Caenorhabditis elegans: one gene and its partner. The gene in region 2 interacts genetically with the main gene of each other region. Each region holds a gene or a part of one and is shown on either strand. Other genes may lie near its edges.

The links. A genetic interaction does not mean that the proteins touch.
Region 1: of egrh-1 (region 2) and act-1, changing one enhances a phenotype caused by changing the other (phenotypic enhancement), as found in Caenorhabditis elegans (one study listed by BioGRID).

The regions. Positions count from the first base shown.
Region 1 is NC_003283.11:11,079,483-11,082,942, forward strand, and holds act-1 (Actin-1), read left to right. Parts: upstream 1-1,569; 5' UTR 1,570-1,590; coding exon 1,591-1,780; intron 1,781-1,828; coding exon 1,829-2,609; intron 2,610-2,661; coding exon 2,662-2,821; 3' UTR 2,822-2,933; downstream 2,934-3,460. UniProt on the Caenorhabditis elegans protein: Actins are highly conserved proteins that are involved in various types of cell motility and are ubiquitously expressed in all eukaryotic cells.
Region 2 is NC_003284.9:14,843,933-14,849,759, reverse strand, and holds egrh-1 (Early growth response factor homolog 1), read right to left. Parts: upstream 3,824-5,827; 5' UTR 3,817-3,823; coding exon 3,676-3,816; intron 3,627-3,675; coding exon 3,263-3,626; intron 3,213-3,262; coding exon 3,070-3,212; intron 2,908-3,069; coding exon 2,612-2,907; intron 2,562-2,611; coding exon 2,491-2,561; intron 2,445-2,490; coding exon 2,371-2,444; intron 2,312-2,370; coding exon 2,186-2,311; intron 1,485-2,185; coding exon 1,329-1,484; intron 1,281-1,328; coding exon 1,266-1,280; 3' UTR 543-1,265; downstream 1-542. Other genes in the region: acd-3 (DEgenerin Like), read right to left, coding at 296-421. UniProt on the Caenorhabditis elegans protein: Sequence-specific DNA-binding transcription factor. Plays a role in oocyte development, acting cell-autonomously in the somatic gonad. Involved in negative regulation of oocyte MAPK activation and inhibits oocyte maturation and ovulation.

The DNA of each region.
Region 1 (3,460 bases), on a different chromosome or scaffold from region 2:
CCACGCAAAAATTCTTCACTAGCGTTCCAATTACTGATTGGGTCCGCAGACTTTTTTGCCATTTTCGATCCCCTATGCTGTGATGTTTGTAAACTCTTCGAAAGTATTTCTATCTCATCGAATATACCAAGAAAATCCTGCATGAGTTTCTTGCCTGCCCCCCCCCCCCCCCCACTGGTTTTTTTTCTGCTCCTCAATATCAGTTGGTACTCTCCCGATGATTTCTGAACATCTTTCCGCCCTCACAAGTGCTTGCACACATAGACCAATATCAATGAAGATTAAAAAAAAATAAATTAATTTCAAAATGTGGAAAGAAAATATTAAATAGCCTTAAAAGATGTATAGCATATGTCTGCTCAGTGTATGTTCCATCACACATGTTCGCATTAGTGCACAACGGGGTGATTTACAAGCTCTGCCTTCAATTAATAAGTATATTTTTCATTCTATTGAATTTGAAGAATTGTGAGCATGTAAGATGAATTCATTTATTGGAAACAAATATGCACTATTTTTAGATTCCGATTAATACAGTGAATACGGACCATCATATATAACTTATTATTTATTTATTCAAATACGTTAGATTCAACATGAATTAAAACATATTGTAGTTTTGTTAAAATATCCGTTTAAATTTAAAAAAAACAGTTTTATGCCAAATATAAAATACAGTCGTCTTTAATCGCATTCTACAGAAGCTATTGAAATTCCAGTAAATTGTTATTGGCTTTAATTTACCTGTGCATTATTTAGGTCATACCATTTTTACGTATTCATTAAATTTACTCATCTTTACCTGTTCGCCCATCATCTTTCTAAAAGTTATTGTTGTTTTCGTAAACCTCCCACCCTTCTCGTCATAGACAAAAAACGTTGCCACATATTTCTTCTCACCTCCTCTCTCGTGGACTCCTCGCCTTCGCAATCGGTCCGATCACTGAGAGATCGTGAGGAAATGAAGAGAAAAGGGAGGGATAAGATAGCTAGAGGGCGTTGTGGGCTCTGGCCAATACGAAGAACTTGGCAAGAGGGATGCTCCCGTGGAAAGAGGGAGTTTATGGGTGGAGTCTTCTCCCGCGGGTGTCTGGATCCTCTCTATTTCTCATAGTCACTAATTCGTTGTGTAGTCGGTGAATCCAATACGCAGAATTGTCTTTCATGGCACAGTATAAAAGCAACGGTGCCCAGTTTTACAGAGCTCACTCATCTCCACGCTTTCTTTCAATTTCTTTTATTTACTCTTCGCTATTTTGCAATAAGTTTTGAACACTTTTTTCAAATACAGCATTTTGATAAGCGAACAGATAACACCAGAGATAAGACTATCACTGAAGTTTCGAAAGTATTCCTTCCTCCATTAATGCCTCACACCATAGATAAGAATTTTTAAAATAAAAATCGTGTTCATGACTCACCCAATGTATTAGTCACGCCTTATTTGATTTTGTTTTTACCACCGCCCACCTGATGAATTGTCCCACTATATATATAATATATATTCTGCTCAATACTATCACCGTTTCCCCACGTGTTCTGTGTTATATTATCAATTTAATTTTTCAGGTACATTAAAAACTAATCAAAATGTGTGACGACGAGGTTGCCGCTCTTGTTGTAGACAATGGATCCGGAATGTGCAAGGCCGGATTCGCCGGAGACGACGCTCCACGCGCCGTGTTCCCATCCATTGTCGGAAGACCACGTCATCAAGGAGTCATGGTCGGTATGGGACAGAAGGACTCGTACGTCGGAGACGAGGCCCAATCCAAGAGAGGTAAATAATTAATACATTCGATGATTAAATTTATGCGTACTATTTCAGGTATCCTTACCCTCAAGTACCCAATTGAGCACGGTATCGTCACCAACTGGGATGATATGGAGAAGATCTGGCATCACACCTTCTACAATGAGCTTCGTGTTGCCCCAGAAGAGCACCCAGTCCTCCTCACTGAAGCCCCACTCAATCCAAAGGCTAACCGTGAAAAGATGACCCAAATCATGTTCGAGACCTTCAACACCCCAGCCATGTATGTCGCCATCCAAGCTGTCCTCTCCCTCTACGCTTCCGGACGTACCACCGGAGTCGTCCTCGACTCTGGAGATGGTGTCACCCACACCGTCCCAATCTACGAAGGATATGCCCTCCCACACGCCATCCTCCGTCTTGACTTGGCTGGACGTGATCTTACTGATTACCTCATGAAGATCCTTACCGAGCGTGGTTACTCTTTCACCACCACCGCTGAGCGTGAAATCGTCCGTGACATCAAGGAGAAGCTCTGCTACGTCGCCCTCGACTTCGAGCAAGAAATGGCCACCGCCGCTTCTTCCTCTTCCCTCGAGAAGTCCTACGAACTTCCTGACGGACAAGTCATCACCGTCGGAAACGAACGTTTCCGTTGCCCAGAGGCTATGTTCCAGCCATCCTTCTTGGGTATGGAGTCCGCCGGAATCCACGAGACTTCTTACAACTCCATCATGAAGTGCGACATTGATATCCGTAAGGACTTGTACGCCAACACTGTTCTTTCCGGAGGAACCACCATGTACCCAGGAATTGCTGATCGTATGCAGAAGGAAATCACCGCTCTTGCCCCATCGTAAGTTTTCTATTTTTGTTTCAGTTAACAAATTAAATTGATTTTTTTTCAGAACCATGAAGATCAAGATCATCGCCCCACCAGAGCGCAAGTACTCCGTCTGGATCGGAGGATCTATCCTCGCTTCCCTCTCCACCTTCCAACAGATGTGGATCTCCAAGCAAGAATACGACGAGTCCGGCCCATCCATCGTTCACCGCAAGTGCTTCTAAATGCACAACTTCGTCAACTTGCACAAACAAGTTCAAAACCATCGTCACCACCAGCTTTCTATTTCTTGTTTGCATATTTTTGTGCAACAAGGAAACATCATGCATATTTCCCAAAAAAATAAAAAACCGCCCCATTTTTGTCCTTATTGTCCTTTCACTCATTTGCGGGTGTGAATAAAAATTTAAAAATTGATATTTCTAAATTGTCTATCAGCACCATTAACAGATTCTTGAAGCACTCGCCGCCAAAAAATGTTACTGTTTGAGAAATACGTTGAAGACAGTTGCGACATGAGAGATATTTGAGTGGGCGCAGAGCGATTCCGAGAATCGCAACGTTCGTGAAGATACTGCTCGTCTCTCGAGAAAGAAAGCACACATTCCATAGTTTCTTCTTATTCCCACGGCGGCGAAAGCATCTGTTTACACAACATGCGGAGGCAAAAACGACGAGAAGCGTCGAACTGATAGGAAGAAAACAGAAAATCTTTGAACAGGAAGGGAAGTGTAGGCGGTTGTATGATAACTTCCGTACGGATAATAGTTTTAAATGTAAACAATGTTAATTAAGAACACAAACTTCTCCATTGATTCAACTCTGCGAGAAAAACGCAAACTTGTTTAAGTTTTAAGTTTTAT
Region 2 (5,827 bases):
GTTGTCTTCTCGAGTAGTTCCGATTTACCCTAGTGTAAGTCTACTTTTACGAAAAAAATGCAAAAAAAAAAACTATCAAAATGTGGAAAAAACTATAGCGATATTTTTTTTTAACTATTTTCTTATTGCTGCGGCGCGCCCACGAAGTTGCCAAAAAGTTGAAAAAAGGGGATGTGCTGGTGAAATGGATCAGGATAGTGCTTTTCAGAGCTAAATAAGAAACAAATTTAAACCAATTATAAAATTTATCATTGAATTGAGCTGAAGTTATTTTTTCTTTTTATATAATCCATACCATTCCATGATAAGTAGTAAGTGACGTAAACTCCTTGGATTCATCATCATAGACATGAAGGACAATCCTCTCCTCTTCTTCTTCATATTCAGAACTGGAGCTGGAGCAATTTGAAGTTTCAGTCATGATGAAAAACGAGAGCAGCAATCAAAAAATCAATACCCACTATCATTTTTCTTCACCAGCTTTCAAGTTTCCTTATCAGAGCACGGATTATTTTCAAAATTTTTAATTGCATCAAGAAACTACAAATTCCTAAAAGTTTATGCAAGGTACACTTTTTCTTTAAATCACAAACATATAGTATACGGCTTGGTTTAAGAGTTTGAAACTTTTCAGTCAAAAGAAATTGAGGTTTTTCATGGGGAAGGAAATCGAAAGGCAAACAAGTAAAAAACGAAATCAAAACTTAACAAAAGAGTTTAAAACATTGTGTTTTTTCTGTTAGGGAGAGTGCAAAAGTCATACCAGAATAAAGAGGAGCAGGAATCAAGGTAATTTAATTTTTAATACGACAAATACAAGAAATAAAAAAGACAAAGAATTTTTCGAGAAAAAAATGAAAAAAATGCCAGAGGTTTTTATGATATTTGAGCGAGGTTGTGGAGCTGAACGCGGAAAATATTGAAAAAAAAACACAAAAAAATAAATCTATCGATAATGAGATCTAGGTTTCTTGTTAGATTCCATTTCAGATTCCAGGACTAGCGATGGGATGGAGTAATGTAGAATTCTATTCAAACGCTAAATATATGTAAATTGAACAAAACAATGGTTCTCAGATCGTTGAAAAATAAAACTTTAAAAATTGTCTTTCGGTTCGCAAATGTCATTACCGGTGTGTCGGAGGAAGAATACAAGGAGAGTTACACGATTTAGAAATGTCAAGAGGGGAAAAAACAGAGAACTGTATCGATTGGCAGCATCAGATTATTCAAACATTGGAGGACCACGCTTCATCTTGTGCTTGTTATGACCCTGAACGCTGAATAACTCAAATTAATTGAAGTTTGTGGTAAGATCGGGTAGTTACCGATGTCTTGTGAACTTTCGTGTGCCGCTTTCGTTCATCACTTCGCGCGAATTTCCGGCCACAAATGTCACAGGAGAATGGTTTTTCGCCAGTGTGAGTGCGCACGTGGGTCGTCAAATGGTCCGAGCGGGAGAAGGCACGCATACAAATTCGGCACTGAAAAATTCCATTTACCATAAATACCATAAATTCCGATATGCATGATATAATCTTATTTGAACTAGACATGAGATTTTCGTGTTAAAGTTATACCGTTACAGCAGGGTTACAACATTTTCTTGAAGAAGTAGTATTAAAACCAAAATTTATAACAAAAAAGTTAAGTTTTATTGAAAGAAAAATCAGCTTGAAATCAAAAAACGTATTAAAATTCCCGCGCATATTTTCGTGATTTGTACGTCCTTTTGGAGAGTCTTACTAGTTAATTACACTTATCATTTATAAAACTAGAATTTTACTAAATACTAAAAAACCTATAGCCAAACAACGTGCTAACTGAAAAATTTTTTTTCGAAAGTTCAGTTTATCAAAATTTTGATTTTTTTTTACCCCACTTTATGGAATTTTCCAGTATTTTTCAGTAGTACTTATCTGTATAAGTACCATATATTCCGATGGAGATTTTCATATTTGTTTAAAAAAATAAATTTAAATGACTCATCAGAGCTATTTTTCTGAAACTTATTTGCCAAAAATTTTGAAACAAAAAAAAAACCAATTTTAGGATTTCCACAGTCTTTCAAATACTTTTTCTACTTCTGCACGAAGCTCAAAATAAACATGTTTTTCTTGAAAACAAAAACAACACAACAACTTTCTGACAGCTTTTGAATTTTTGATTACTAGTTGCTCAGTACCTGGAATGGCTTTTGGCCTGTATGAATCCTAATATGTCTCGTCAGCTCGTCACTTCTCGAGAACCTCCTGTCACATCCATCTCGTGGACACTTGTACGGTCTGTCTTGGAGAGGCATCTTTGAGGACTGAAATACAATTTTCTTTGAAAACTAGTACTAAAGATATGAATATATGCAATACATACCTTCATTTTTTGGCAGCCAATATTCTTTAGCTCTTCAGAAGTGGATGAAAACTCAAAGGAATTGAAGTCATTATCTGAATCATTGAATATTTGATGTACGAAATTTTGCGATAAAGTTACCTGAGAAGTTGTAGCTGTAGTCATCCATTGGCTCGGTTTTTGGCTCGAAATGTGCCAAGCTAGCGCTGTCTCTAAAAATTGTAAAATATTAAAAGTTCCAGCTTGTACCTATTCAACTTACGAAAATGACGTATGAGTCGAGAGACTAGAATAGCTTGCTGAATTGGAATACGGGTCATCATGCGCAGAAATTGGCGACATTGATGAATGATCCATAGATCTTGTGAGGCTCGCTGACGTGTTGGTCCTCTGTACTCGTGGGATTACGGTAGACGGTCGAGAGTTGGATTGTGGATGCTCGTTTTGAAGAGAAGACCCAAGATGCGATGGTTCACTTGTCTTTCGTGGCAGTGTCGGCACATGCAGAACATCACTGAATTTTTGATCCTCTATCGAGCTCCTCCGTACTTGGACAGACTGAAATTATAAATTCATAAGTTATTATGAGAATGAACGCTGAAAGCAAAAAAAAAGTGTGTTTTTTTAATTTTAATTTTTTTTAGACACAGTATTTTCAGTTATTCGTAATTTAAAAAAATACTCTAATATATATTTCAGTGTGGGCACACACTCTCGTACCTTTATCAAATCGGATGGTTCTTGATGGTTTAATCCCGCTGTTTTAGAGTCCACAACTAATTCTGGCAGGCCTGCTTTATTAGTGAGATTTTGCAAAAAGTGTTCTACCATTGGCGAAAACTGGAACATGGCAGCAGATAAGCCTGAAAATTCATTAAAGTTGGCTTCAAAATCAAAACTTTTGTATACAAACCTGGAGAATCTACACCACCCGGTCCTGTAGAACTGATCTCAATATCTTTTAACGTCAACTCTTCTGGTTTCTGCTTACTGTTCCCGTTCGTCATGCGCGGTACTCCAAAACTATTACTTCCTAGCAGCTCCTTAGGCTTCGCCTCATCCGAAGAGCTAGACGGCTGCTCACTACTGTAAGCTGGCTCCTTGTATGACGATGATGGTGCCGGCATTAGTGTTGTTGTGTGCATTTGGTTGAACAGTGGCTCGTGCTCGCCAAAGAATTTCTGATCGGTTTGAGGAGTAAATCCAGAAAATCCATTGACTTTAGGCGTCCCGTCAATATTCATCGGTGTGTGTCGTGGTGAATTTACTGTGGGTGTCTGCAAGAATATGGTTTAGTTTCAGACAATTCAAGGTGTAACTTCTCACCTTAAGCATATCATTCATAGTTGGCGTTTTCAGGCAATCATTGTCAGCAAACGTCAGTATTGGTTTATTTAATGACGGAGGTTTTAATAAATTTGAATGAGAGTGCCTATTAAGTTTGGAAGGTGGCTCGTGAAGTGCCATCCTGATTCTGCAACAACAGAAAAAATTAATAGAAGTATTTCGGTAAAAGGGAAAATAAATAAACGCGTGAGAAGTGTTGGTTCAAAATTCAGAAATATCTAGTCCTTTTGATTAATGGGCGGAGCTCTTGGAAAAGGAGAAGGTTGTCATATTTGGCGACGCAAAAAAATTGGGAAATTGGAAAAGCCGGAAGGAAGTCTAACCTAAAACCAGAAAGGCGGAAACATTTTCTTTCATTGCAAATAAATTTTTAGGTTATGGGCAAGTTATGGCAAGATTTTTTTTAATGTTCGAAAGGAGATCGTTGCTTCCCCCAAGTGGCACATGTTGTTAGTTATTATTCAATTTTTAATTGAAAATTATTAGAACAAAAAAGAAAATTTTTGAACTATCAGGTGTAAGCTCTAGATAGATCAGCTTTTTTGCGAAACTTGAAATTCGCTCAAACTTGCAAAACCCAAAAGTGTACTCTATAATTATGAAATTCTTCTAGTTTTCGAGCAATGAATAAGTCTGTGAAACCCGGTGAAACGAAAACCAAACTAAGGAAAAAATGCAAGAAGGGGGGGGGGGGGGGAGAAGGAAAAAAGAAAGACGAGGAAGAGAGTGTGGAATCGAAATTTTGTGAATTACAAATGCAGTAGCCCCTGCGGCCCGTCCTTTCACCCACGCACCTACAACCAAAAAAAGGGGAATCACATTCTCGTTGTCCATCTCGTTCCACGACGGTTTTGTATGACATGGAGACGGAGAGGCAATACAAAAATCGCTTGGAGGAATCGAGAGGCGGGAATTGCCATAACATACAAATGAGGAGGAAAACAATGATTGGAAGAATCTAGAACCAAAAAAATAATATATACTCAATCTAGATTTATAGTCGGTATTTATATCAGTATCAGTTGAGCCTCTAGAGATATGCAGTTTTCAGAATTATCGCGTTCTCAAAACAATCACGAGATTATTGATAACGTTTCGTGGGCAGGAGGAAATGGAAAAAAAGAAAGAAAACGCCAAAATAGTAGTAAAAAGTAAAAAATGAAACAAAGAAACACTAGTGTCCAACACGCGGAAGCCCCCCCCCCCCCCCCCCCCCCCCCAACAAAAGAGTCGTTTTCGGGTGCGTGGGTGTGTGAACATACTGGGTGTGGTGATTGTGACATGCTCCAAAAGTTAAACTCTTTCAACATTTATATACCGGAAAAGTAGGTGTTACCTGAGTCACTGCTAGATGGTGAGATGTAGAAAAGATGAAAAGAGTTTTGCTTTTTGGCATATTTAGTGATAGAATTGATAAGGAAGAATGACGTGAGTCAGAGAGAACGACGAGAAATGAGGGCGGAAAGAGGGGTGGAAAAACACTGGAAAATATAAAAATGTACGTTTCGGGAATGAGCATGATGTGAATATTCAATTTGATAAGTTACACTTTGCAACAGGTGAAGCTTTTAAAGATGGATGGATCAAGAATAAATGACATATGGCTCACATTTACCTCCATGATAAAGAACTGGTAATATACTGAAAATCCACAAAATTTCATATAAAAACGAAGTATCTCTGTATGTTATCCCCACAGTTTGAAAAGTTTTTTATATGAAAGTGGGTATTATTTTTGAATTTTTGAAATATAAGGTTCTGGCAAATACTATTTCTACACGTGGTGTCAGAGTATCTCATTCAAGCTTGATCTAAAAAAAATGCGGGAGAAAAGACGCAGCGTTCTCAACTGATTTTACATGATTAAAAACGTACTGACGTAACGTTTTGTGGGCAAAAAAATCCCGCATTTTTAGTAGATCAAACCGTAATGGGAGCTTGGCACCACGTGTTTCTCAACAAAACGATCAAAATATTATAGATATCATGTTTAATTTTATTAAAGCAATTAATGAGATTTTTAAATTTTGAATACTTTTTGAATTTGGGGACACAATACACAAGTACCAAAAAATTTTCAAAAAGCTTAAAATAAAGCTTAAAATACATGAATAACTCAAATTTAATTTTA